3 linked regions of the Callithrix jacchus genome follow. The protein of the gene in region 1 interacts with the protein of each later gene in a pairwise test. Links are inferred from orthologs where the notes say so. Each region holds a gene or a part of one and is shown in the gene's direction. Other genes may lie near its edges.

The links.
Region 2: the proteins of SHC1 (region 1) and SHCBP1 interact in a two-hybrid assay, tested with the Homo sapiens proteins (2 studies listed by BioGRID, with this or other methods). The link is inferred for Callithrix jacchus from reciprocal best matches to the Homo sapiens genes SHC1 and SHCBP1.
Region 3: the proteins of SHC1 (region 1) and INSR interact in a two-hybrid assay, tested with the Homo sapiens proteins (2 studies listed by BioGRID and IntAct). The link is inferred for Callithrix jacchus from reciprocal best matches to the Homo sapiens genes SHC1 and INSR.

What each region holds. Positions count from the first base shown.
Region 1 is NC_133519.1:15,377,092-15,386,149, reverse strand, and holds SHC1 (SHC-transforming protein 1), read left to right. Parts: upstream 1-341; 5' UTR 342-562; coding exon 563-1,057; intron 1,058-1,655; coding exon 1,656-1,726; intron 1,727-2,262; coding exon 2,263-2,326; intron 2,327-2,480; coding exon 2,481-2,600; intron 2,601-2,835; coding exon 2,836-2,889; intron 2,890-3,061; coding exon 3,062-3,113; intron 3,114-3,295; coding exon 3,296-3,422; intron 3,423-3,957; exon of another isoform or gene 3,958-4,558; coding exon 4,559-4,736; exon of another isoform or gene 4,737-4,814; coding exon 4,815-4,884; exon of another isoform or gene 4,885-4,965; coding exon of another isoform or gene 4,966-4,968; coding exon 4,969-5,100; exon of another isoform or gene 5,101-5,251; coding exon 5,252-5,664; downstream 5,665-9,058. UniProt on the Homo sapiens protein: Signaling adapter that couples activated growth factor receptors to signaling pathways. Participates in a signaling cascade initiated by activated KIT and KITLG/SCF.
Region 2 is NC_133521.1:3,955,734-3,965,468, reverse strand, and holds part of SHCBP1 (SHC SH2 domain-binding protein 1), read left to right. Parts: intron 1-845; coding exon 846-977; intron 978-4,206; coding exon 4,207-4,325; intron 4,326-9,735. UniProt on the Homo sapiens protein: May play a role in signaling pathways governing cellular proliferation, cell growth and differentiation. May be a component of a novel signaling pathway downstream of Shc. Acts as a positive regulator of FGF signaling in neural progenitor cells.
Region 3 is NC_133523.1:6,877,462-6,887,937, reverse strand, and holds the start of INSR (insulin receptor), read left to right. Parts: upstream 1-3,860; 5' UTR 3,861-4,349; coding exon 4,350-4,449; intron 4,450-10,476. UniProt on the Homo sapiens protein: Receptor tyrosine kinase which mediates the pleiotropic actions of insulin.

The sequences.
Region 1 (9,058 bases):
CCCAGTTGCCTCCGTTTCCTCCCTCATTCCTCTCTACTCTCGCCTGGCTTCCTGGCCCCTTTGGTCTGCCTGTGTCCGGTTTCCAGTGACCCGCACCTCCTCTTATCTCCCTCCTTTCCGTCTTATTTCTCCATCCTCTCCTCCCACCCCCCACTTTACTCCTCCCCAGATTACTAGTTGTTTGTATAGGGCTGGGGAGAGTTCGAGGTTGGGGCAGGGTGGGGCTCAGCCCCTCTGAGCCTGTGAGTCAGCACTGTCCTCCGGATTGGTCTCTCTCCTTAGCTCCCCGCCCCCAGGGAGGAGCCAGGCAGCTCTGGGTCCAGCCTGTTCTCTTCTCAGCCAGAGAAGAGGCTCCACGTTGGGCGGGGATGGGGCCTGAAACTGTCTGGGTCTGAGCTGGGGAGCGGAACCCACTTGTCCCTCTCCCTCCCCAGGACTTCTGTGACTCCTGGGCCACAGAGGTCCGACCAGGCTAAGGGCCTGGGGATACCCTCTGCCTGGCCCCCTTGCCCAAACTGGCAGGGGGGCCAGGCCGGGCAGCAGCCCCTTTCTCACCTCAGCTATGGATCTCCTGCCCCCTAAGCCCAAGTACAATCCACTCCGGAATGAGTCTCTGTCATCGCTGGAGGAGGGGGCTTCAGGGTCCACCCCCCCGGAGGAGCTGCCTTCCCCATCAGCCTCATCCCTGGGACCCATCCTGCCTCCTCTGCCTGGGGACGATAGTCCCACTACCCTGTGCTCCTTCTTCCCGCGGATGAGCAACCTGAGGCTCGCCAATCCGGCTGGGGGGCGCCCCGGGCCTAAGGGGGAGCCAGGAAGGGCAGCCGATGATGGGGAGGGGATCGTAGGGGCAGCCATGCCAGACTCAGGCCCCCTACCCCTCCTCCAGGACATGAACAAGCTGAGTGGAGGCGGCGGGCGCAGGACTCGGGTGGAAGGGGGCCAGCTGGGGGGCGAGGAGTGGACCCGCCACGGGAGCTTTGTCAATAAGCCCACACGGGGCTGGCTGCATCCCAACGACAAAGTCATGGGACCCGGGGTTTGCTACTTGGTTCGGGTGAGTGAACATTCTCTCTTCCACTCCCTCCCAGCCCCCGCCCCCCCCCCCCCCCCAGTTCTGCTCACTCCAGCTTGGCTGGAATCTCTTTTCTCCTGCTGTTCTACAACCCCGTTTCAGTGTCCTATTTCCTAAACCTTTCCCATCCCTTCCCTGATTCTGTAGTCCCTTCCCTTCCAGCTCTGCCTGAGCCCCCTTCCTTCTTTTGACTCCCCCACCCCCACCTCTACCCTGCCATGCTTAGCACAATGCCCAGCATGGCAGAAGCTCTTAGTAAGTGTTGGAATGAGTGACTTATTGATCCTCCCCTCCATTCTCCTCCTGCTTTCTGGAGTTGTCACTCCATCCCAGCCAATGCCTGTCGGTCCCCTCCAAACTCTCTCCCCAGTGCGAGGTCCTTCTTTCTAGCCTGCCTTTCTTTCTCTCCTCATTCCCTGTTGTCTTTCACCTTGATTGTGGGATGTAGCCACGGGAAGTGGGCAGAACCTCTCCATCTCTACTTCCCTTAAGGACCATGTGGGCAAAGTCCTAGGGCCCTTTGTGAAGGGGCTGGGGTGGGGGAGCTGCTGACCTGCTGTCCTCCCCTCCTTCCGCTTAGTACATGGGCTGTGTGGAGGTCCTGCAGTCAATGCGTGCCCTGGACTTCAACACCCGGACTCAGGTCACCAGGTTAGTGGGGAGGGAGTGGATTGGGGGAGTCCCGGGGTTAGTGAGGCCACAGGAAAGGGAGGAGGGGAGTGGTCACTTGAGTGCTGCTGGTGGGGGCTGATCTTTGGGTAGTGGAGGGGATTGAGAGAAAGCTGGTGGTAATTCTGTATCTTACTGAAAGGAGGCCCCTCTGGCCTGGATCCTCCTTACCTATCCATCCTTGGGAGTTGTGGGGAAGGTGGCAGAAGCAGCTGGCAGGTAGAGCTGGAGTAGAAAATGGGGGTAGATGGAAGGTTGCTGCTGCCTTTGGGAAGGGAATGGGACATTTGGTAGCTGGAAGTGGGTGGGTCTGTACCCATTGAGGCCCTAACCCAATCAGCCAGGAAGCGGCCTCTCAGTGTCATCAAATATTAAAGGCCCTTAATTCAATCCACCACGACAAAGAGCCTGGAGTGCCCTGGGAGTCTGGCCTGGCTTTCCCCTCCCCCAGCCCTGTGGCAGCCCCAGCTGAGTGGGAAGCAGGCAGGCACTGGGTCTGAGTACCCCTCTTTCCCCAGGGAGGCCATCAGTCTGGTGTGTGAGGCTGTGCCGGGTGCTAAGGGGGCGACAAGGAGGAGAAAGGTATCTGGGGTCCTTGGGGATAGGGATGCAGCTGGGAGATGTGAGGGGCAGGGGGAAGGCAAGTGTGGGGCATGTGGGGGAAGGCCAGAAGGCAAGAGTGTGGTTTGCCGGAGCTGGGAACCCTCACCTTCTGAGACCCTGGGCCCTACCTTAGCCCTGTAGCCGCCCGCTCAGCTCTATCCTGGGAAGGAGTAACCTGAAATTTGCTGGGATGCCAATCACTCTCACCATCTCCACCAGCAGCCTCAACCTCATGGCCGCAGACTGCAAGCAGGTTGGTGGAGTTGGGCAGGGGGACTAGAAACACTGGTGGGGGTGCTAAGGGGAGATCTAGTTAGGAGGCCAAAAACTAGGAAGAGGGCTTGAGAGCAAGAGACCAGTAGGGACGGAGGAAGTGAGGATATGGGATAAGGAACCCAGAGAATGAAACTGGGTGTGAGGGTTCTGGGCCCTGAGGCGCCTGACGCATGGCATTCCCTTCCTTCTTCATCCCCTGCCCTGATTCTCAGATCATCGCCAACCACCACATGCAATCTATCTCATTTGCATCCGGCGGGGATCCGGTGAGTTGGGGAACAGAGCAAAGGTGGCGGGAGAAGAGCAAGGGGCTAGGGATTGGGAAGACATTTATTAGAGAAGTGGGGGTGCTAGGATTGTGGGGATATCTGAAAAGGACGGGGTTTTAGGGGTTAGGAGTAAAGTGGAGCTGTAACATTTTCTGACCTTCCTCCCCAGGACACAGCCGAGTATGTCGCCTATGTTGCCAAAGACCCTGTGAATCAGAGAGGTGAGGCATGGTGGGGAGCACTGGGTGGGTCCGGCTGTTTGAGGAGATGAGCGGGACCTGGGGTCTGCACCCGCTTTTGCTAAGTAGAGCTAAGTAGGGGTTCCTGCTGAGGAAGATGAGGGCCCTGTCTATGCCTCCTCCCAGTGGGCTCAGCTCAATGACCGCCTCTGCTGTGCCCTCAGCCTGCCACATTCTGGAGTGTCCTGAAGGGCTTGCCCAGGATGTCATCAGCACCATTGGTCAGGCCTTCGAGTTGCGCTTCAAACAATACCTCAGGAACCCACCCAAACTGGTCACCCCCCATGACAGGTGAGCAGGTGGGGAGGATGTGCAGCAGCTCTTAAGCCCCAGAACAGGATTGGGAAAGGAGGGCTGCTCTTCCTACACTTGAGCTGAGAGGCTTAGGGAGGGAATAACCTGCGTGCCTCTGCTTCCCCCTTCCTGTGATTCTTCCATTTCCTGTGGCCCACAAGGAAAGACTCTTGAGGCCCTGCTTGCTGCAGGGCCAGCTTTTCCTCCTGTTGCTCATGGTGGAGCTGCAGTCTGAGGCATCCAAGTTACATCTCTCTCTCTGGCTAGATGAGATTTTTCTACTCCCATCCCTCTTGCTTGCCCATTTCTCTGACACTCTGTATTTTAATGCTTCCAGAAGCCATCAAGAATTTGGGTTTGTGAGGATATCTCTTTTCCCTGAGATTAGTGTTTCCCACCTCTGGCCGTGAGGGATAAGCAGTGGCGCCAGGAGGGACTGATTAGGAGAGGTTAAACTATTCTGTAGTGCCTTCTCCCCACCTCACTACATAATGCTTCCCTTCCTTGCTGGCAGATAGCACAGTGATCAAGGGCAAGAGCATTACTTTTTTATTTTGAGACAGAATCTTGCTGTGTTGCCCAAGCTGGAGTTCAGTGGTGTAATCACACAACTCACTGCAGCCTCCATATCCTGGGCTGAGTGATTCTCCCACCTCAGCCTCCTGAGTAGCTGGGACTACAGGTGCATGCCACCACACCTGGCTAAGTATTATTATTTTTTTGGTAGAGGCAGTCTCACTACGTTGCCCTGTCTGGTCTTGAACTCCTAGGCTCAAACAACCTCCCTCCTTGGCCTCCCAAAGTGTTGGGATTACAGGTATGAGCCATTGCACCTGCCCAAGGGCATAAGCTTTAAAGTCAAACCTGAATTTAAATCTGAGTCTGTCACCTTTTAGTTGTGAGACCTTGGGCAAATCTTTTCACCACTGATCCTCATTTGCCTCATCTGTAAAACTAGGAAAGAAAACAATACCTATCTTATGGGGTTGCCAGGAGAATGAAATGATTAGGTATATAACACACTCAGCCTCAGGCCTAACCCATAGTAAATACCGAATACATGGCTGCTGTTCCGTTCCCTCCTCCTGCCCACCACACATTTACGGCCACACCTTCACTGTCCTGTCTCTCAGGATGGCTGGCTTTGATGGCTCAGCTTGGGATGAGGAGGAGGAAGAGCCACCTGACCATCAGTACTATAATGACTTCCCGGGGAAGGAACCCCCTCTTGGGGGGGTAGTAGACATGAGGCTTCGGGAAGGAGCCACTCCGCCCACTGCCCAGACCCCCAGCCACTTGGGAGCTACACTGGTAAGTTGTTTGGATGGAGGCCTAGGGTGGGAGTGGCTGGTTAGGGCCTCTGGTTCCACCTTATTTTCATCCTTGCAGCCTATAGGACAGCCTGTTGGAGGAGATCCAGAAGTCCGCAAACAGATGCCACTTCCACCACCCTGTCCAGGTATGAAGGGAGCCGAGATGGGCAGAGCTGGGGAGTCCTGGAGGCAGGACCGGGATCACTGTACAGCCTCCCTTTCCTCAGCAGGCAGAGAGCTCTTTGATGATCCCTCCTACGTCAACGTCCAGAACCTAGACAAGGCCCGGCAAGCAGGGGGTGGTGCTGGGCCCCCCAATCCTGCCATCAATGGCAGTGCGCCCCGGGACCTATTTGACATGAGTGAGTGCTCCTCTCTCCTCTCTGCATCCCTATCTTCCTACTTGGTTCTGGCCCTTCCCCTGCCTATATCTGCTCTTTCCTTCCCTGAAGTCTGGGTCTTGGGTGTGTATTGTGCCTGCTACCTCCCCTCACCCTCTCTCTACACCTCCAGAGCCCTTTGAAGATGCTCTTCGGGTGCCTCCACCTCCCCAGTCGGTCACCATGGCTGAGCAGCTCCGAGGGGAGCCCTGGTTCCATGGGAAGCTGAGCCGGCGGGAGGCTGAGGCACTGCTGCAGCTCAACGGGGACTTCCTGGTGCGGGAGAGCACGACCACACCTGGCCAGTATGTGCTCACTGGCTTGCAGAGTGGGCAGCCCAAGCATCTGCTACTGGTGGACCCTGAGGGTGTGGTGAGTATGGCAGAGGTGAGGGTGAGGGGTGGCAGAAAGGAAGGTACAGTACCCTACAGTGCATTCTTGTTCCTTCCCCCATTGCTTTCTAGACATTTCCTGCTGGGCAGCTCTCTGTGGGCCTCTCTGCTCTTCAAGGTGTCTGGCATCTTCCTCCAGGGGCTTATCCCTTAGCCTGAACTGTGTCCTTTATAGTCCTGGCACAGGGCCAGGCATGGTGGCTCACGCCTATAATCCCAGCACTTTGGGAGGCCAAGGTGGGCAGATCACTTGAGGTTAGGAATTTGAGTCCAGCCTGGCCAACATGGTGAAACCCAGTCTCTAGTAAAAATATAAAGATTGGTCAGGCACAGTGGCTCACGCCTGTAATCCCAGCACTTTGGGAGGCTGAGGTGGGTGAATTACCTGAGGTCAGGAGTTTTGAGACCAGCCTGACCAATATGCTGAAACCCTGTCTCTACTAAAAATACAAAAACTAGCCGGGTGTGGTAGCCTGTACCTGTAGTCCCAGCTACTTGGGAGGCTGAGGCAGGAGAATCGCTTGAACCAGGGAGGTGTAGGTTGCAGTGAACTGAGGTGACACATTGAGGCTCTGTCTCAAAAAAAACAAAACAAAACAAAACAAAAACCTGTGTGTGGTGGCACACAGCTGTAATCTCAGCTACTCAGGAGGCTGAAGCAGGAGAATGGCTTGAACCGGGAGGTGGAGGTTGTAGTGAGCTGAGATCACACTGCTGCACTCCAGCCTAGACAACAGAGTGAGATTCTGCCTAAAAAAACAAAACAAAACAAAATAAATACAGCCCTGGCTCCTCCTCAAATCTCCAAGCCGTAAGCTTATCAGAGCTAGAAGGCAGTCATCTATATCATCTGTGCCCCTCTTTTGACAAATGAGGAGACCACTCTGAAGAGGTTGTGATGCCCAAACTCAGATGGTTAGAGGCTAGACACTGCAAGTTTCCTTTTGTAAGAAGACCCACGGGCTTCCCCAGCTCCCCAGACTCAGGACTCAGACCCTTGTGCTTCCCCTTACCTGTACTGCATTACTGTTCCTCCAGACTTCCGTTGTTTAGCCACGTGTGGTGGCTCCAGCCTGTAAGCCCAACATTTTGAGAGGCTGAGGTGGGAAGACAAGCCTGGGCAACATAGCGAGACCTGGTCTCTACAAAAGTAAAAAAATAAAAAATTAGTCAGGAATGGTGAAACATGCCTGTAGTTCTGGCTGCCCAGGAGGCCGAGGCCTTGAGGATCGCTTGAGCCCAGGGGTTCTAGGTTACAGTGAGCCATTATTGTGCCACTGCACTCTAGCCCGGCTGACAGAGACCCTGTCTGGAAACAAAAAACTTTTGTTTTCTACAGTAATCTCACCCTCCTTTCCTTTTTCTTTTTTTTTTTTGAGATAGGGTCTCACTTTGTCACCCAGGCTGGGGTGTGTTGGCACAATCACAGCTCACTGCTGCCTTTGCCTCCGGGGCTCAAACAATCCTCCCACCTCAGCCTCCCACCTCAGCCTCCCAGGTAGCTGGGACTACAGGCATGTACCACTATACCTTGCTAATTTTTTTTTTTTTTTTTTGTAGAGATGGGGTTTTGCCATGTTGCTCAGGATGTTCTTGAACTTCTGGGCTTAAGTGGTCCACCTGCTTTGGCCTCCCAGAGTGCTGGGATTACATGTGTGAGCCACCACTCCTGGCCTCCACATCTTTTTTTGCACTGTGTATACTCTTCTGAGACATGCCAACTTCCTCCAGGTCAAGAAAGGGGTATATAGGTCTCAGCTTCCCTGTTTCAGGGCTGATGCCTCCTTTGCCTTTTCCCACTTCACTGACCTGTCTATTCCTACAACTCTTTTTAGAGAAGCCTCAATGATCAGGACTGACAGGCCCCTCCCTCTCCCACCATTTTTTTCTCCTTTAAGCCTCTCACACTCTTCCACCTTGGAGGATGAGGTCTTGACTCTTCACCTGAATTGCCTACCTTCCTTCCCACCCTCCCAGGTTCGGACAAAGGATCACCGCTTTGAGAGTGTCAGTCACCTCATCAGCTACCACATGGACAATCACTTGCCCATCATCTCTGCGGGCAGCGAACTGTGTCTACAGCAACCTGTGGAGCGGAAACTGTGATCTGCCCCAGTGCTGTCTTCCAGAAGATGCCCTCCAGTCCCCTCCACCCTATTCCCTAACTCTCGGGACCTCATTTGGGAGTGTTCTGTGGTCTTGGCCTTGTGTCAGAGGTGGGAGTAGTGTGGACACTGGGTTTTGTATCCAGCTGAGTGAGAGGGTTTGAGTCAGAAGCCAGGGGGAGAATCCTACTTCTCCCCAAACATTAATCACCAAAGTATTAATGTACAGAGTGGCCCCTTACCTGGGCCTTTCCTGTGCCAACCTGATGCCCCTTCCCCAAGAAGGTGAGTGCTTGTCATAGAAAATGTCCTGTGGTGACAGGCCCAGTGGAATAGTCACCCTTCTGGGTAAGGGGGAACGAATCACACCTCTGGGCTTCAGGGTACCCCAGACTCCTCTCAACACCCCCCCACCCCCATGTTTAAATTTTGTGCCTTTGACCATCTCTTAGGTCTGAAGATATTTTATGCAAAGAGTTCTTGGGCCCCTGAGTTCAATGACAGGGATGCCAACACCTTCTTGGCTTCTGGGACCTGTCTTCTCCTTGCTCAGCATCCTCTCCGCTTTGGGCTGGGAGAACAGAGGCAGGAGTGGCAGCTGTCCCCTCTCCCTGGGGATATGCAACCCTTAGAGATTGCCCCAGAGCCCCCCTCCCGGCCAGGGGGGAGATGGACCCCTCCCTTGCTCAGTGCCTCCTGGCCGGGGCCCCTCACCCCAAGGGGTCTGTATATACATTTCATAAGGCCCGCCCTCCCATGTTGCATGCCTGTTGTACTCTACAGCCAAAGTGTAGCCCTTCCTCCTCGAGCCTGTGCCCTGCCTCCCCTTTGGAATGGGGGGGTGGGGTGACGAATTTGGGCCCCTTGTACACGTAACTCTCCCAGGTGGATTTTGTGGAGGTGAGAAAAGGGGCATTGAAACTCTAAAGCAGTAGACAATCCCCAAATACCATCTGTAGAGTTGGAACTGCATTCTTTAAAAATTTTGTATGCATATATTTTAGGGCTGTAGACTTACTTTCTTAATTGTTTTCCATGGCTTATTCTTGAGCACAAAATGATAATCAATTATTACATTTATACATCACCTTTTTGACTTTTCCAAGCCCTTTTACAGCTCTTGGCGTTTTCCTCGCCCAGGCCTGTGGGGTAACTGGGATCGGCAGCGTTATCTTTTAGACCAGAGACCTGAGGCAGATGAAACTGATTTCCAGATAGGACTAGAAAAACTTGGGCCTCTTACCGCGAGGCTGAGAGGCAGGAGTTTGCCCGAATGCCTGTCAGTTTCACGAAGGGGAAATGCAAAAGCTGCAGGTCCTGGGTACCTCCTACAAGCCACACCAGAGCAAGCCGGCCCCCCTCCTTCGGCCTGCGGATAAGGGAGAGCTGATCGTTTTCATCCTGGCCTCCTTTTGTTGTTGTTTGGATGTTTCCACGGGTCTC
Region 2 (9,735 bases), on another chromosome or scaffold:
GTCCAGGGTGCTCTCGAACTCCTGACCTCAAGTGATCCACTTGCATCGGCTTCCCAAAGTGCTGGGATTACAGGTGTGAGCCACTATGCCAAGCCTCTATCTGATGCTTTTTATTTGTTAATGAGGTAGACTGTTTTTTTCTAGTAAGTAGTCAGTTTGTCAGATTTAAAGCCAACTGTTTAAGAGAATATTAAAATTAGATCATCTTGAGAACTGCTTAGGTTTATTCAAATGTAATTTATATTAGAATCATAGAATGTTAGAAGCAAACTTCTAAGGGTGAATGCTTTCAAGTTCTTTGACTCAACTGTAAGTCCATTCATTGATTCATTCATTCGAGACCAGGTCTCATTCTGTCACCCAGAGTAAAGGCTGGAGTGTAATGGCATGCTCATAGCTTACTGCAGCCTTAACATTTTGGGATCAAGTGACCCTCCCACTTTAGCCTCCTTGAGTAGTGAGTAATTGGTACATGCAACCACACCTGACTAATTTTTTTTTAGTTTTTGTAGAGATGGAGTCTCACTGTGTTGCCTAGGCTGGTCTTGAACATTATTTATTTTTTACAGCAGTTTTGTAAGTGAATTTAGTGCTGAGCTGATGTGAGATAGTTGATAGGGTAGTCATCTTGATATGGGGACTAGTCAGAGAGTGGTGATTGTTAAAAATTGGATACCATGGTTTAAATCAAACAGAATATGTAGGGAGAGATTTTATTTAAATACAACATGGTTGACTGGTCTCATCATCTGCAGTCATTTGAACTCAAGAAACCTGTTCTAGAGTGTTCTTATTTAGATGTTTTTCCTCACCCATCTTAAGTGTTCTTGTTCTTTCTTTCTTAGGATATGGGCTACCAGATGACATTGTGATAGAAGAGAGGGGCAAAGGTGACACTTTTGTGGACTGCACGGGTGCTGATATTAAAATCTCAGGCATAAAATTTGTTCAGCACAATGCGGTAGAGGGGATCTTAAGTAAGTATCTGAATGTTTGATGTATTGTTTCTTCTAAGCTTTGAAGGAAAACTGTACTCTCTATGGAAGATAGAATTTAATGAAATGCCACTCGAGTACAGATATACCTTGTTTTGTTGCACTTCACAGATACTGAGTTTTATACAAATTGAAGGTTGTGGCAACCCTGTTTCCAGCCAGTCTGTTGGGACCATTTTCCCAATAGCATATGCTCACCTTGTGTCTCTGTGTCAGATCTTGGTAACTCTCACAGTATTGAAAGCCTTTTAAAAAAATTACAGATGATATGCTGATCTGTGCCCAGTGATCTTTGATGTTACTGCTGTAATTGTTTTGGGGTGCCATGAACTACATCCATATAAGATGGTGAATTTAACTGATAATTGTGTGGGTTCTGACTGTTCCGCCAATCAGCCATTCCCCTATCTCCTTCTGTTTGGACCACTCTATTCCTTGAGACACAGCAATATTGAAATTAGACAGGCTAATACACCTGCAATGACATCTATGTGTTCACGTGAAAGGAAGAGTCACCTGTCTCTCACATTAAATTAAAAAACTAGAAATGTTTAACTTAGTGAGGAAGGTACGTTGAAAACTGAGACAGGCTAAAACCTAGGTCTCTTGTGTCAGTTGGCCAAGTTAAGAATGTGAATGAAAAGTTCATAGAGGAAATTAAAAGCACTATTCTAGTGAACATACTAATGATAAGAAAGTGAAACAGCCTTATTGCTGATATGGAGAAAGTTTCTGTAGCCTGGATAGAAGATCAAATCAGTTACCACATTCCTTAAATCAAAGCCTATTCCAGAGCAGAACCCTAACTTCTTCAATTCTGTGAAGGCTGAGAGAGGTGAGGAAGCTGTAGAGGAAGAGTTTGGAGATAGTAGAGGTTGGTTCATGAGGTTTAAGGAAAGAAGCCATCTCTATAACATAAAAGCACAAGGTGAAGCAGCAAGTGCTGATGAAAAAGCTATAGTAAGTTACAGAAGATCTAGCTAAGGTAATTGATGAAGGAGGATACACTAAGCAACACATTTTCAATTTAGATGAAATAACTTTCTATTGGAAGAAGATGCCATCTAGTACTTTTCATAGCTAGAGAGAAGTCAGTGCTTGGCTTCACAACTTCAAAGGACAGACTGACTCTCTTGTTAGGAATGAATGTAACTGGTGACTTTAAGTTGAAGCCAGCGCTCATTTACCATTTGGAAAATCCTAGAGCCTTTGAGAATTATGCCAGATCTACTCTGCCGGTGCCTTAGAAATGGAACAACAAAGCCTGAATGGTAGCACATCTGTTTATAACATGGTTTGCTGAATATTTTAGGCCCATTATTGAGACTTACTACTGAAAACAAAAAGATTCCTTTAAAAATATGATTGCTTATTGACAATGTATCTGGCCATCTGAGAGCTATGATAGAGGTGTATCAGGAGATTAATGTTGTTTTCATGCCTGCTAATAACATCTATTCTGCAGCCCATGGATCAAGGAGTAACTTCGACTTTCAAACCTTACTACATAAGAAATATACTTCATAAGGCTATAGCAGCTATTGATAGTGATTCCTCCGATGGGTCGGCAAAGTCAATTGAAAACTTTTTGGGAGGGATTCATCATTCTAGATGTCATTAAGAACATTTGATTCATGGGAGGAGGTGAAAATATCAACATTAACAGGAGTTCTGGAGAAATTGATTCCGGCCCTCATGGATGATTGAGGGGTTCAAGACTTGAATGGAGGAAGTAACTGCAGATGTGGTGGAAATAGCAAGAGCCTGATGATACCAAGTAGAGCCTCAAGACGTGACTGAATTGCTACGATCTTACAAAAATTGGAACAGTTGAGGAGTTGCTTCTTATGGATGAGCGAAGAAGGTAGTTTCTTGAGATGGAATCTCCTGGGGAGGATGCTGTGAACATGGTGGAATGACAACAAAGGATTTAGAATATTATGTAAACTTGGTAAAGCAGAGATAGACTTTGATGGGATTGACTACAATTTTGAACAACTGTCTACTGTGGGTAAAGTGCTATCAAACAAGATCACATGCTACAAAGAAGTCTTTTCATGAAAGGAAGAGTCAATGTGGCAAACTTCATTGTTGTCTTACTTTTAAAAATTGTCACAGCCACCTTACCCTTCAGCAAACACCATTCTGATCAGTCAGCAGCCATCAAGATAAGACCCTCCACCAGCAAAAAGATGATGTCTTGCTGAAGGCTTAGAGGAGTGTTGGCATGTTTTAGCAAAATAAAGTATTTTAAATTAAGATGTACACATTTTAAAAGAACATAATGCTTTTTGTACACTTAATAGACACATTAGAAACATGCTACTCATTAGTATAAATGCACATGCTCATCAGTATAAACACAAATTATTAATTTTTTGAGACAGAGTCTTGGTCTATTGCCCAGGTTGGAGTACAGTGGTGTGATCTCAGCTCACTGCAACCTCTGCCTCCCTGGTTCAAGCTATTCTCCTGCCTCAGCCTCCCCACTAGCTGGGATCACAAGCTCCTGCCATCACGCATGGCTAATTTTTGTATTTTTAGTAGAGACAGGGTTTTACCACATTGGCAAGGTTGGTCTTGAACTTCTGATCTTGGGTGATCTGCCCGCCTTGGCCTCCCCAAAGTGCTGGGATTACAGGTGTGAGCCACCATGCATGGCCCAAAAAATTATTTGTTTATGTGCATAGTGTGACGACTTAGCAAACTTAACCTTGAAGTGAAAACTAAACCTATTCATGATAATTTGTTAATGTTAGTTTCTTTTCTGTGCAGTGACTTTTTTTTTAAAACTTTCCAGTGTTGTGGTCTGTGTTCTCTGTATTCAGGGTAGCACTAGATTGAAGTTATCTCCACATGGCAGTAGTGTTTGTTTACTGGAATCTTTGTATCCCGTTTCTTGATTCAAGGTCTTTTTCTTCTGAGATACTCAGCAAAATTGTTCTCTGATACTTTTTTTTTCTAGTAATGAAAAGTCTTTTTGTATCTGAGCTCAAGTCATTCTTTTTAAAGAATGTTGCTTCTAGATTGTAGAAAGTAACTAAAAATCATCATCATTTTATATTTTATGAATTTGTAATTTAGGTAAGAAAATTTAAATGGTAGATTTTGAGAAATATTTAGTCCACATCTAATGTAAGCATCAGGCTATCTCTAATACTGGAAAAGGCACATTACATCTTAAAGCAGTCAGTGTGTATTTTCATCACAGTTGTTCACCGTGGAAAGACTACGCTGGAAAACTGTGTGCTGCAGTGTGAGACAACCGGAGTCACAGTGCGGACATCAGCAGAGTTTCTGATGAAGAACTCGGATTTATATGGTGCCAAGGTAGAAACACTTGTCCTCTTAGGGAAGTAGTTTGGGTTTAAGTTGTAAATGAATAAATGAAATATGGGACCAAGATGTATGTGCGTACTCCTACTCTCCAGTCATCTCTACCAAGTCAGTCAAACTCAACTGTGCAAGGGTCTTCTCATGTAGCATTTTCAAACCATAGCAATAAATCTCACAATTGCTTTATTTAGCTTTAAGAGAGGGTTAGACCATTAAAATTATAACTTTGTAATTGTAGATTCACACAGTATTGTAAGAAATAGCAGGGAGAGGTCCAGCATGATGCCCTTCACCAGTGTCCCCTAACAGTAACATCTTGTGAAACTGTCCTGCTACACCACAACCAGAATACTGACATCAGTCCAGTCAAGCGGAAGAATATTCCCATCACCAAAGGAACACTTCATGCTGCCAAACTCACTCTCTCCTACCAACCTCTTCCTTAACTGCAAGAACACTTTAAGCTGTTTTTATTTTTATTTTTTTTTGAGACTAAGTCTTGCTCTTTTGCCAGGCTGGAGTGCACTGGCACGATCTTGGCTCACTGCAACCTCCGTCTACCGGATTCAAGCCATTCCCCTGCCTCAGCCTCCTGAGTAGCTGGGACTACAGGCGCATGCCACCGTGCCCGGCTAATTTTTTGTATTTAGGAGAAATGGGGTTTCACCATGACCAGGATGGTCTCGATTTCCTGACCTCATGATCCACCCGCCTTGGCCTCCCAAGTGCTGGGATTACAGGTGTGAGCCACTGTGCCTGGTGCTGTTTTTCATTTCTATTTATTTCATCATTTCAAAAGTGTAAAAATGGCATCACACAGTATGTGACTCTTTGGGATTGGCTTTTCTTACTTAATATGGTTCTCTGGAGCTTCACTTAGGTTGTTGTAGGTGCCAGTAGCTTGCTCCTTTTTACTGTTGAATAGTCCAATGTGTGTACTATTCCTCAGTTTGTTTAGTCACTTGTAGGATGTCTAGATTGTTTCCAGTTTTGTCCTATTGTCAGTAAAGCTGCTATAAACATTTGGGTGTAGGTTTTTGTGTGAACACAGTTTTTATTTAAAAAAATTTTTTTTAACATTTATTTATTTATTTTTTTGAGATGGAGTCTTGCTCTGTTGCCCAGGCTGGAGTGCAGTGGTGCGATCTGGGCTCACTGCAACCTCCACTTCCCACGTTCTTGCAATTTTTCTACCTCAGCCTCCCAAGTAGCTGGACTACAGGCACATGCTGCCACACCTGGCTGATTTTTTTTTTTTGTATATTAGTAGAGATGGGGTTTCACTGTGTTGCCCAGGCTAGCCTTGAACTCCTGAGCTCAGGCAATCCGCCTGCCTCCCCCTCCCAACAGGCTGGGATTACAGGCACGAGCCACTGCACCCAGCTGACAGTTTTAATTTTTTTAAAATTAATTAATTAATTAATTTTTTCTTATAGATTACTCAGTCTTGGATACGTCAGTTCTTATTTTTTAAGGAGTAAATGCCCAGGGATGCAGCTGTAGGTCATATAGTAGTTGCATGTTTAGTTTTTTTTAAAGAAACTGCTAAAATGTTTTCCAGGGTAGTTGTACCATTTACATTCCCACTAGCAGTGTTTGAGTGGTTCAGTTTCTCTATGTCTTCAAGAGCGTTTGATGTTTTGACTATTTTTTGTTTTAGCCATTCTAATAAATATGTAGTAATATCTCATTGTTGTTTTAATTGTCATTTCCTCAGTTGTTAATAATGTCAAGGATTTTCTCATATGCTTATTTCTCACTCTTATATCCTCTTTAGTGAAATATCAATGACTTTTGCCCCATTTTCTGATTGGATTGTTTGTTCTTCTTTACTGTAGAGGTTTGAGAGTTCTCTATATATTCTAGATACTAGTCCGTTGTCAGGTATGTGGTTTGCAGATATTTTTTGCCACTCTGTGGCTTGTCTTTTCACCTTCTTCATATGGGCTTTTATGGAGCAGAGTATTTTATTTTGATGAATTCCAGTATATCAGTTTTTCCTTTTATCAGTTGAGCTTTTGCTGATAAGATTTCTTTGTCTAGCCATAGATCCTGATTTTATGCTATTTTTCCTAAAATTTTTATAGCTTTATATTTTACATAAGGTTAATTTTCTAGTTAATTTCAGTATAAGGTTTAGGTCATAGTTCATTTCTTTTCCTATTTTGTTTCACTCATCTGTGCAGCTATCCCTCCACCAATACCTGTAGCTCTACATTAAGTCTTAAAATCAGGTAGAGTGATTTGTCCTACTTTGCTTTTTCCAGAATTGTTTTGACCACTCTAGTTCTTTTGCTTTTTAATTCAAATGTTAGAATAATTTTGTCTATATCCACAAATAGGAATTTTAATAAACCCATATGTCAATTTGAGAAGGATTAACACCTTCCAGTCTTTTAACGCAACATATTTCTCCATTTGTTTAAAATCTCTGATTTTTTTTTTTTTTTTTTTTGAGGTAGAATCTTGTTCTGTCACCCAGGTTGGAGTGCAGTGGCGTGAACATGGCTCATGGCATAGCTTCAGTCTCATGGGCTTAAGCAATCTTCTCACCTCAGCCTCTCAAGTAGCTGGGACCACAGGTGCATGCCACTACACCAAGCTAATTTTTTTACTTTATTTTTTGTAGAGATGGGGTCTTTCCATGTTGCCCAGGCTGTTCTCTAACTCGAAATCCTCCTGCTTCAGACTCCCAGAGTGCTGGCATTGTAAGCATGAGGTACCGCACCCAGCCACATCTTTGTTTTCTTTCATCAGCATTGTGTAGTCTTCAGCATGCAAATGCTGTATGTGTTTTGTTAGATTTGTACCTAATTATTTCACTTTTTTGAGTGATTGTGAGTGATATATAAATTTCTCTGAGAGGAGTCTTTCTCTGTTGCTCAGGCTTGAGTGCAATGGTGTGGGTTCTGCTCACTGCAACCTCTGCCTCCCGGGTTCAAGTGATTCTCCTGCCTCAGCCTCCTGGGTAGCTGGGATTATAGGCATACACCACCACACCCAGCTAATTTTTGTATTTTTAGTAGAGACAGGGTTTTACCATGTTGGCCAGGCTGGTCTTGAACTCCTGACCTTTTGGTCTGAGTGCCTTGGCTTCCCAAAGTGCTGGGTTACAGGCCTGAGCCACCACACCTGGCCGTAAGTGATATTTTTAATTTCAGTGTCCCTAGTATATAGAAATATAATTGATTTTTATATGTTTCTCCTATATCCTATGACTTTGTTGAACTGTACTTACAGGAATGTTTTTGTAGCTTCCTTAGAATTTTCTATATAGAGAGAGTAATGTTATCTGCAAAGAAGGGGAGGTTTTTTTTTTTCCTAATCTTTATGCCTTTTTTCCCCCTTTGCCTTATTGCACTGGCTAGAATTTCCAACACTATGAAAGCAGACTTTCTTACCTTATTTTTGGTATTAGAGAGAATATATTTAGTATTGCATCAAAAAGAATAAGGTTGACCAGGTTTTTAGATATTCTTTATCAAGTTGAAGAATTACCGCTCTATTTCTTTTTCTTTTTTCTTTTTTTTTTTTTTTGAGAATTTTTACCATAAATGGATGTTGACTTCTTTTTTTCTGAGTTCTTTTCTCAGGAATATACTGACTTCTAATGCTTTTTTCTGGATAGATTGATATGATCACATGATTTTTCTTACTGGAAAAAAGAAAATGGTGAGTTACATTGGTTGATTTTCAAATTTTGAGCCAGCCTTGCCTCTGTGGCATAAACCCCACTTGGTCATGGTATAAAATTCTTTTTAGATATTGCTGAATTATATTTGCTAATCTTTTGGGAGAAAATTTTGCATCTATATTCATGAATATTGGTCTCTAGTTTTGGTTTTCTGTACTGCAGTTTTTATCTGGTTTTATTATCGATAATAATAACTTCATAAAATGAATACTGAAGTGTTCTATTTTGTAGAAGAGATTGTGTAGAATTGCTGTTCATTCTTTAGATGTTTAATGGATTTTGCCAATGAAGTCATCTGTGCCTGGAGATTTCTCTTTTGGAATTTTTAAAATTATGAATTCAATTTCTTTAATAGTTAAAAGGGTATTCAAATGATGTATTTTATATTAAGTACATTTTGGTAGTTTGTGCTTTTTGTGGTATTGGACTCTTCTACATTGTCAGATTTATATGTATAGAATTGTTTGTAGTACTTCCTTATTCTTCTGATATCCGCAGGGTCTATAGTAATGATCCCTGTTTTATGTTGATAGTTTGTGTCTTCTCTCTTTAAAGAACCAACTCTTCGTTTCATTGTTTTATGGTTTTTTTTCTTATTCTAATTGTTTTGTTTTCAATTTCCTTTATTTTAGTTCTTTTAAAATTTATTTTTCATTTTTTATTTTTACTTTTTAATGTTCTTTTTATGATTTCATTCCTTCTGCTTGTTTTGGGTTTATTTTACTTGTTTTGGGTTTTCCACCTGAGATATTAGATTATTGATTTGAGACTTCTTTCTCATGTAAATATTTAAGGCTATAAATTTCCCTCTCAACATTGCTCTCTCTAGCTGTTCTGTAAATTTTGGTATTTTAAATTTTTATTCTTTAGTCCTTGCAGAATTTAGAAGTATGTTGTTTAGTTTTTAAATATTTGGAGTTTTACTCTTATCTTTCTATTGTTGACTTCTAGTTTGATTTCATTGTGGTCAGAAAACACACTATATGATTTCAATTCTTTTACATTTCTAGAGGTTTCTTTTATTGCCCAGGATATGGTCTATTTAGATACATGTTCTGTGAGCAAATAAAAAGAATGTGTATTCTGTTGTTGGTATATCATTGTATACCAACATGGTATATCCAGTATACTGGTATATCCAGTAAAATGTCAACTAGATCATATTGGTTGTTGGTGGTACTGAGTTCTTTTGTATTCATTCTGATTTTTTTCTTTTGTCAATTGTTGAGAGGGGGGTTGAAGTCTCTAATTATAACTAATTTTGTTTATTTGCCTTTGCAGTACTATTAGTTTTTGCTTCACATATTTTGCAGTTCTGTTATTTGATGTATGCTCATGTAGGATTGCTATGTCTTTTTGGTGAGCCAGCATGTTTATAATTATTTTATGTCTGTCTCTGGTAATTTTATTTGCCCCAAAGTCTACTTTATCTGATATTAATGTAGCCACAGCTGGTTTCCTTTGATTATTGTTTGCATAATATATCTTTTTTTATTTTTTTAACTTCGACTTGCCTGTATTCTGTTCGAAGTGAGTTGTAGACAGCATATAGTTGAGTCATGTTTTTAATCCACTTTGGCAGTCTTGGTCTTTTAGTCGTATTTAGATCACTTAATTATTAATGTTAAGTCTTTAGTCTGCTATTTTATATTTTCTCTTTGTTCTGTTTTTCACTTATTGATTTGCTTTTTATTGCCATCCTGTGGATAC
Region 3 (10,476 bases), on another chromosome or scaffold:
AAAATTAGCTGGGCATGGTGGCGCATGCCTGTAATCCCAGCTATTAGGGAGGCTGAGGCAGGAGGATCACTTGAACTGGGGGGGTGAAGGTTGCACCACTGCACTCCAGCCTGGTGACAGAGTGAGACTTTGTCCCCCCAAAATAAAATAAAATAATAAAACATATCTACATATGTTTTATGCACTCGTGACATACCTAACTTAATTTTTTTGGATATTTCTTGGTCACCAAGTTCATCTGCAAGAATTCTCAAATTGCTGCAGATCTCTAAAACTGTTTCCAATATATTTATTGAAAAACATTCTGCTTAAAAGATGACCTCACTTTGGGAGGCTGAGGTGGGCAGATCACCTGATGTCAGGAGTTTGAGACCAGCCTGGCCAACATGGTGAAACCCTGTCTCTACTAAAAATACAAAAATTAACCAGATGTGGTGGTGTGTGCCTGTAGTCCCAGATACTTGGGAAGCTGAGGCAGGAGAATCACTTGAACCTGGGAGGTGGAAAGTACAGTGAGCCGAGATAGCTCCACTGCATTCTAGCCTGGACAACAGAGCAAGACTTTGCCAAAAAAAAAAAAACAACAAAAAAAAACCTGCACTGTTCAAACTCATGGTTCAAGGCTCCACTGCAGTTCTTACCCATGGCTTCACTTTCTCCTCATTCTTTCTTTTTTTTTTTTTTGAAACTGAATCTCTTCCTGTTGCCCAGGCTGGAGTGCAGTGGCACAATCTCAGCTCACTGCAACCTCCACCTCCCAGGTTCAAATGATTCTCCTACCTCAGCTTCCCAAGTTGGGATTACAGGTGCATGCAACCAAGCCTGGCTAATTTTTTGTATTTTTTGCAGAGATGGGGGGTCTCAAACTCCTGACCTTCATGATCCACCTGCCTCAGCCTCCCAAGGTGCCAGGATTACAGGCGTGAGCCACCACGCCCAGCGTCTCCTCTTTCTTTTCTACAGCTACAGTGAGTGACTGGTTCAGTTGTAAGAATGTCTTGCTCACCCTCCTCTGGGCCTATCCTCATGCCTTTCCCTCGACCTGAAACACTTCTCCATGGCTTCCCTAGGCTGGCTCCTCTTCATTTTCAGACTTAAGCTGAAAACCACATCCTCAGTCAGGTGCGGTGGCTCACATGCCTGTACTCCTAGCATTTGAGGAGGCTGAGGAGGGTGGATCTCTTGAGGTCAGGAGTTCAAGACCAGTCTGTCCAATATGGTAAAATGCTGTCTTTACCAAAAATACAAAAATTACCTGGGCATGGTGGCGGGCACCTGTAATCCCAACTACTCAGGAGGCTGAGGCAGGAGAATTGCTTGAACCCCGGGGGACGGAGGTTGTGGTGAGCCAAGATCGCACCACTGAAGTTAGCTTAGGGGACAGAGCGTGATTTTTCAAAATCCAACCAACCAACAAACAAAAGCCGCCCTCAGTGGATCCCTCTCTATGCCCCTCCTATTCCCCTCAACTCATCACACGCTCAATTATTTTAAGGGCTCTCTCCTAAGCTCAGTTGTGAACTTCGTAAAGAAATGGATCATGCTGATTTTGCTCACTGAAAAATCCCATATTACTTATTGCTTGTTGATTCTCCCACTCAACAAATATTTATTAAGCAACAGCTATGCCAGGCACTGAGTTTAATCAGTGAAATGAGACTTTAAAGATTTCTGCCTTCATGGGAGAGGAGAAAACACAGAACACATTGAATAAGAATGTCAAGGCCAATCAAAGTGACGCATGTCTGTAATCCTAGCACCTTGGGAGGCCAAAGCAGGAGGACTGCTTGGCCAGGAGTTCAAGGCTCCAGTCAGCTAGGATTGCACCACTGCATTCCAGCCTGGGTGACAGCAAGATTCTGGAAAAAAGAAAGAAAGGAAGAAAGAACGAAAGAAAGAAAGAAAGGACAAGGAAGGAAGGAAAGGGAAGGAAGAAAAGAGAAGAAAATAATTTCAGGCAGAGAGGTAAGCATGCTATGAAAATGAGAGAGAAGGGGCCAGGTGCAGGGGCTCAGACCTGTAATCCCAGCATGTTGGGAGGCCAAGGCGGGTGAATCAACTGAGGTCAGGAGTTCAAGACCAGCCTGGCCAACATGGTGAAACCCCGTCTCTACTAAAGATACAAAAATTAGTTGGGTGCAGTGGTGGGCACCTGTAATCCCAGCTACTTGGGAGGCTGAGGCAGGAGAATCACTTGAACCCAGGAGGCAGAGGTTGCAGTGAACCGAGATCATGTCATTGCACTCCAGCCTGGGCAACAGAGCAAGACTCCTTCTCAAAAAAAAAAAAAAAAAAAAAAAAAAGAAAAAAAAGAAAAGAAAGAAAGAAAGAAAAAAGAAAAAAAAAAAAAAAAGAAGGGAACAGGGAACTGGGGGGAGGATTTCCAAAATGTGGTAGGGATGAGTCCTTGGAGCAGCGATGAAGCCAGAAGTTTGGCCTTTTGCAAGAAGAGTGGGCCCAGCTCTGAACAAACTATTTCTTTAATAATGGAAGAACGGTCCAGGCGCCGTGGCTCATGCCTGTAATCCTAGCACTTCGGGAGACCGAGGTGGGCAGATCACAAGGCCAGGGGATTGAGACCGTCCTGGTCAACATGGTGAAATCCGGTCTCTACTAAAAATACAAAAATTAGCTGGGCGTGGTGGTATATGCCTGGTGGTCCCAGCTACTTGAGAGGCTAAGGCGGGAGAATTGCTTGAACCCAGGAGGCGGGGGTTGCAGTGAGCAGAGATCAAGCCGCTGCGCTCCAGCCTGGTCGATAGAGCAAGACTCAAATAAAATAAAAATAAAAATAAAGAGAATGAATGCCTTGGGTCTACGGTTGTGCTGTGTGCATTCTTAAGTTTTCTCCCTCGGGTACCTTCCCAGATCTGGTGTACAGGTATTATCAAACCCATCACTGAAGCAAGACTGGCCCGGACATAGTGAAGTAGCTGGTCCAAGACTACACAGGAGTGAGGGGTGGAGGAACCCTTTTCCCACTGAGTTCTGGCTTTCCTACACTGAAAGCCCCTTCCTCTCCTTCAGTATGGTGGGTGGAACCGCTGTCCCGCCTTGTTCGTGACTGACATTGCTAGACGTTCAGACACACACAGGCTGGTCTGCTGATAATCAGACATGTCCACCCTCTATTCGAGGTCTCCTGCATCGTCTTTCCCCTTTCAGAAGCTTCTGCACATTTTCCCAGGTGTCTTTCTCCAACTTGAACACAGGGAGCGCACTGGACACGCAGGCACGTGGCTGTCCCCAGGGGCCTGACTTGGGTCTTGCCTCTGGGTGGGGGCGCACGCGCGGGAGGGACATCTGGGAGCGTCCACCCGCTCTGGGACGAGTGTGTCTGGCCAGGCCTGGATGAGGGAAAGGCGGTGAGTGAACAACTACTCGCCTGAGGTGCAAAATTTAATCCCCCACAAATACACCACACATACAAAACAAAAAACAAAAACAAACAAAAAACCGAACCCACCTCGAGTCACCAACGTAAATATTTTAATGCAGTATTTTAAAATTATTAACAGAAATCCTCCAAAGCCCCACTCCGAACAAAAGAGCAAAATGGTAGAGAAAGGATTTATGTCGCTGGGTCAGGCCTGTGGGGCGCCTTTGGGGGCGTCTGAGGCTGGAGGAGACTCGGGCGGTGTAGAGCGCGCGGATCTGGGGCGGCCCCTCGGTCCAGGCGCGCCCAGGGCCTCCAGCGAGGGGCCCGGCTCGGGGAGGCGGGGAGGCGGGGCGGGGCCGGGCGCCACCTCCCTCCCCGGCCCCCCGCTTTCCCTCCCTTTCCCGGGCCTCTCCCGGGCGCACAGTCCCTTCCCAGGCCAGATCCGCGCCGCCTTTTCCCTCGGCCCGCAAGGGGCCCAGCTGACGGGTCGCCTTGTTTACGGCCCGAGCAGCCCTCACTCCCGCCGCCCGCCACCAGCCACTCGCCCGCCCAGGTGCCCGCCCGCCCTGCAGCGGGTCCCTCGGTCCGCGAGTCCCTCTGTCCCGGAGCCCGCCGATCGCGACCCAGAGTGCGCGGGGCCGAAAGCCAGGAGACAGTCCCGGGCGCAGCGCAGAGCTCCGGGCCTCGAGATCGTGGGACGGGGCCCGGCCCGCAGCGGCCGGGGGGTCGGGGCAGCTACCGCGGGGCCTCCCAGCTCTCTTTGTAGCGGGCGAGGCCGCGCGCGCGCCCTTCCCGGGGCTGCCTCTAGGACCCCAGATCTCGGGCAGGGGCGCTGCGGCCCGCGGATCGCCCGCGTGGAAGAGAAGGACACGCGGCCCCCAGCGCCTCTCGGGCGGCCGCCTTGCGGCATGACCCCCGCGGGTCCGCACCGCGCGTTCTGATCCGAGGAGACCCTGAGCTCCCCGCAGCCATGGGAGCCGGGAGCCGCCGGGGGGCGGCGGCCGCGCCGCTGCTGGTGGCGGTGGCCGCGCTGCTCTTGGGCGCCGCGGGCCAAATGTACCCTGGAGAGGGTGAGTCTGGGGGCGCAGGAGTGGGCGGGGAGCAAGGCGATGGGGAGAGGACCCCCCCAACCCGAGACAAAAGAGAGCCCTCCTCCCCCCACCCCGCTGGTGGACTGAGACCCCTTCCGAGGACGGGGGGCTGGGGTCGGTGGCTCGGGCGGTCGCTTCTGCTCCGCGTGCGGGGCGGGAAGCCGCTGACCTTGGCCTTTGCCCGCCCGGACTCGTGCCTCCGCGCCCCGCGTGCCCGACCTGAGCCCGAGGAACCTTGCCCCAGTGCCCGCCCCGCCGCGGGCGCCTCTCCGGATCGCCCCTGCGACCAGAGCCCCGGTCTCTCCGAGGCCAAGTCGCTCTGGAGACAACACACGCGTCCTCTCTGGGTGGCGGCTGCGAAGTGGGGTCACTCGGTCTGGGCAGCTCCGGACAGCCCATCCCCGGAGCGCATAAGGTGTAGATGGAGCCAAGTGCCCTGAGTGCCTCACTGGTGGGAGACGCTGCCTGGGGTCGGGGATTGTAGAACCCGCCCCCAGCTCCATCCCGATATCTTGGATCTAGGCCAGTGGCCACCCCGGACTCTAGGTCCATGGTTTCCCTTTTGGGTTCTGTTTCCAGATGTCCCGAGGCACATTCTAAAGCCTTAGAAACAGCAGCAATTGTGGCAGAAGTAGTGGCGTGTTTTTTTTTTTTTTTTTTTTGGCCATGTTTATTGTAATTGGTGTCACCACAGGCCACACGCTGGTCTATCTTATCTCTCTGGACTGTCACAGTGGCCCCGGGAAGCGGTTACAGTTATGCACCCATTTTACAGAGGAGTGAACTGAGGCTCAGGTAAAACGCATAGCTCCCTTGCCCTAAAGTCAGTGCCAGAGCCAGGACCTGAATCTCTCTGCTCCCTGTTCTGCCCAAGAATCTGGACTACTGTCCTTCACCTGCTGTTTCCTTAACGCCTCCTCTCCCCTCAGCTCTGCCCTTCATGAAAGAGCCTTTCATTCCCCCTGACCCCCACCGGCTCTCCCACGTGGGAGCAGCATCTTCCTTGAAGACGCCTTTGCGGTTGTAGAATGAAGATGGAGTAATCATTTAAGAGAATATAGCCTGGGTTTCCCACTGTAGGGTCTGAGACCCTGCTTTAAAAATATTTGTTGTGTCACTGTTGCAGATTTCTCCATAAAAGGAAATCAGTGGTGATGAGGAAGGGGTCGGAGAGGGAAGGAACTGAAGCTCCTTAATGTATTGAGGGAGAACGGGGTAGATGTGAAATCAGAGGTGCTGGAGTGGACCAACCGGGTTTGCGGAGTTGACTCTATCAATTACATAATGTCTAAAAGCCCCACCACCACCACCCCAGGGCCTGGCAGACAGCAGGTGCTCAATGAAGGGTGGCAGTTAGTTTGGGTTCTTGTTAAGAAAATCCAAGAAGAGTGGTTTAGAACTATGCCAGGCCAGGCATGGTGGCTCGTGCCTGTAATCCCAGCACTTTGGGAGACCGAGGCAGGCAGATCATGAGGTCAGGAAATCAAGACCATCCTGGCCTACATGGTGAAATCCTATCTCTACTGAAAATACAAAAATTATCTGGGCATGGTGACGCGCACCTGTAATCCCAGCTACTCTGGAGGCTGAGGCAGGAGAATCAGCCTGGGAGTTGGAGGTTACAGTGAGCCAACATTGCGCCACTACACTCCTGCCTGGGCAACAGAGTCTCCGTCTCAGAAAAAAAAAAAAAAGAACTATGCCAAATTCTGTGTGTGCCTATGTGTGGTTCCTTGCTCTTCTGTTCCTTGCAGCTTTGGTGATGAATTGTGGATCTGTGCCTGCGCTTTCAGGATCAGTAAATGGATTTGCCATTTATTTGCACAGTTATGGCTTCCTTATGGGCAGGGGTTTACGGTTTGCTGTTGTTGTCAGTGTTCACTTCTGCATTTCGAGAGCCCAGAACAGTGCCTGGCACATAGTAGGTGTTTGGCAAATATTTGGAGCCCAGGTGGTGGAATCCCTGGGTGTACTGGGTGCCTTTATTCGTAAGGAGTTCCTCATTCTCTGCTTAATACCTTTCTAAGAATTATAAGAGCAAGGCCTCAGCAGGTGCTGTTCTGTGTGCTTTGCATATATAATCTCAGTTAATCCTCACCACAAAACCCCACGAGGTGCAGTTTAATCGTCTCTTTTCACAAGTGAGAAAACTCCACTTGGGGCCAGCAGGCAGCAGGGCTGGCATTACAATCTAGCTAGCGTGGCTGCAGAGCAATGGTTTTTTTTTTTTTTTTTTTTTTTTTTTTTTTTTTTTTTAACAGATCCTTGTTCTTTTGAGTGTGAGCCTCCATACCTCCCATGCTTGGGGTAATGGTGAACAAAATCCTATCAAATAAACGGGCGTGACGCCTCTTGAAGGCTTGGAGAGGGGCAAAGAACTTTTCAGATCATTAATCTCTAATGTCAACCAATAAGACTTTTTTTTTTTTTTTTTTTTTTTTTAAAGGGAGTCTCACTCTGTTGCCCAGGTTGGAGGGCAGTGGCGTGATGTCACCTCACTGCAACCTCCACCTTCCATGTTTAAGAGATTCTCCTGCCTCATCCTCCGGAGTACAGGCAAGCACCACCACACTTGGCTAATTTTTTGTATTTTTAGTAGAGATGGGGTTTCACCATGTTAGGCAGGATGGTCTTGATCTCCTGACCTTGTGATCTGCCCACCTCAGCCTCCCAAAGTACTGGGATTATAGGCATGAGCCACCATGCCCAGCATTTTTTTTTGAGACAGGGTCTCACTGTCACCCTGGTTAGAGTGCAGTGACAAGATCTTTGCTCATTGCAACTTCCAATTTTCAGATTCAAGTGAGTCTCCTGCCTCACGCTCCTGAGTAGCTGGGATTACAGGGTGTATCACCACCCCTGGCGAATTTTTGTATTTTTAGTAGAGATGAGGTTTTGCCACATTGGCTAGGCTGGTCTCAAACTTCTGATCTCAAGTGATCTGCCTGCCTTGGCCTCCCAAAGCGCTGGGATTACAGGCATGAACCACCAATCCCGGCTCTAATATGGCATTTTGATTGGCATGAAGGGTGGAGGAAAATCAGTGTGATTTTTGTCTCTATTGGTCTAGCTATCTATTTGTTTTACTGTATTTATTTTTTGAGATGGGGTCTTGCTCTGTTGCTTAGGCTGCAATGCAGCCACAGTCGGGCAGTGACGGCTCACTACAGCCTCGACCTCCCTGTACTCAAGCCATCCTCTCACCTCAGCCTCCCTGGTAGCTGGGACCACAGTTGCATGCCACCATGCCCAGCTAGTTTTTAAAAATTATTATTAATTTGTAGAGATGAAGTCTTGCTATTTTGTCCAGGCTGGTCTCAGACTCCTGGCCTCAAATAATCCGTCTACCTCAGCCTCCCAAAGTGCTGGGATCACAGGCATGAGTCATGGTGCCTGGCCTCTGCAGTTATTCTTACCTTTTGCTTCTCTCCTGGAGACCTCCATCTTGCCCTTCCAGACTTATGCATAGAGGCCAGAGGGTGTGGGCTGGGTCCCCTGGGGTCCCCACCTCACCCCACTCCGTCCTTGATTTCCATTCTTCTGTGGTTCAAGCAGGGCTCTCAACCTGGGCACTGCTGACATTGGGGGTTGGATCATTCTTGGTGGTGGGGGCTGGCCTGTATGTAGAGTACTGAGCTGCAACCCGGGTCTTCACCCACTTGGTCCTGGTAGGATCCCCTCCCCACAGTCATGACACCACAGATGTCTCTAGACACTGCCAAGCACTGCACTGGAGGAGTTAACCTTTTCCCTGTCTGAGACATTTCCCCATCTGGGCTCTTGCTCTGTCTCCTCTCTTTGTTCAGGAATCTTTGGCTGCGCGCAATGGGTCACACCTATAATCCCAGCGCTTTGGGAGGCCAAGGCGGGCAGATCCCCTGAGGTCAGGAGTTGGAGACCAGCCTGACCAACATGGTGAAAACCTGTCTACTGAAAATACAAAAATTAGCTGGGCGTGGTGGCAGGCACCTGTAATCCCAGCTACTCAGGAGGCTGAGGCAGGAGAATCTCTTGAACCCAGGAGGAGGAAGTGGCAGTGAGCCGAGACTGAGCCACTACACTCCAGACTGGGTGACAGAGTGAGACTACATCTAAAAAAAAAAAAAATTTATTTACCCACATGCTTTTTCAACCTCTAACACCCAGTATCCCCCAATCCCCCTTACCCACCACTGACTTCCAGCCTCCACCCTGTCCAGCTTCCCTCTGTCAGCCCTCCCCGCCCTTGCCATCTCACTCTTTACCCACCGTTCAGCCCCCGGTGTCTGGCTTGCGTCTCCGCCACTTCACCAATGGCTCTCAGAGGTAATCTCTCATCTCTCAGTTTCGTCTCCTGCGGCCTCACCTCACTTGACCCCTCTGGGTTTGCCAATCCCTCCTCCTGGAAGGCTCTCTCCTGTCACGTTCTCACCTGCACCTGGGTTCTTTAGTTTTACTGTGCTTTTCTCCTTCTACCTGGGCTAAGATGTTGGCTCTCTCTTCCCAGAGGGTTAGTGTTTACTCTTCTCTAAGCTCACTTTTTTTTTTTTCTTAAATTTTTATTTCTTTTTAGAGACAGGATCTTACTCTGTCACCCAGGCTGGAGGCAAAGGTTCAGCCCTAGTTACTGCATCCCCGAACTCATGGCCTCAAGCAATCCTCCCACCTAGGTTTCCCAAGTAACTAGAATCACAGGCAGGCGCCACCACACCCAGCTAACTAAAAAAGTTTTTTGTACAGACAGAGTCTTGCTCTGTTGCTCAGGCTGGTCTTGAATTCCTGGACTCAGGTGATCCTCCCGCCTCAGCCTCCTAAGTACCTAGGATCACAGGCAGGCACTGCCATGACCAGCTAATTTAAATTTTTTTTTTTTTTTTTTGTAGAGACAGAATCTTGCTATGTTGCCCAGACTGAATTGAACTCCTGGCCTCAAGCAACCTGCTTGCCTCAGCCTCTTGAGTACCTGGGACCACAGGCAATCATCACCATGCCTGGCTAATTAAAAAAATGTTTTTGTTTCTAGAGACAGGGTCTTGCTATACTGCATAGGCTGGTCTTGAATTCCTAGCTCAAGCAGTCCTCCCTCCTAGGCCTCCCCAGGGCTGGGGTTCCAGGCATGAGGAGCCATTCCACCCAGCTAAGAAATTTACTATGGTGTCCAACTTCATCTGGACAGGGGTCAGCACACTATGGCCCTCAGGCCAAATCCCACGGTTTCTGTAAATGCTGTTTTACAGTCATGCAGTCACACTCATTTATCTACTCATCATCGATGGCTGCACAAAAATGCCCCACCACGGCCGGTTGAGCAGTTAAAACAGGAATTCCACAGCCAAAATATTTACACTTTGGCCCTTTACAGAGAATGTTTGCTGACCTCTGATCTGGAACAGAGGCCTTGAGGTTTCATTCATGATAGCTTGTGTGGTCACTCGTACCACTTGAATGAAGTGAGTGAAATGAAATGCTGTCTTTCTCTTTACACCGCAAGACATGTTAAAGAAATGTGTATCATTTGCTGCACTGAATATACGGATTCCAAGGATGAGAAAGATGGCAGTGATGTTTCCTACCTAGCTATGTGTATGAACTTACAATTTATTTAAACAGCTATATTGGCATTGAATGAGGATTTCACCCTTTCAGCCCAGCTTCTAGAATGCAAAAGGAAGTGGTGTATGTCATGAGATTTTTTTTTTTCTCAAGCCTCCCTTGTGTTAATTTCTATTGAGAATACTTCTGAGCCGGGTGTGGTGGCTCACGCCTATAATCCCAGCACTTTGGGAAGCTGAGGCGGGCGTATCACAAAGTCAGGAGTTCAAGACCAGCCTGGCCAACATGGTGAAACCCTGTTTCTACTAAAAATACAAAAATTAGGTGGGTGTGGTGGCATGTGTCTGTAATCCCGGCTACTGGGGAGGCTGAGGCAGGAGAATGGCTTGAACCAGGGAGGTGGGGGTTGCAGTGAGCCAAGATCAAGCCACTGCACTCTAACCTGGGTGACAGAACAAGACCCCATCAAAGAAA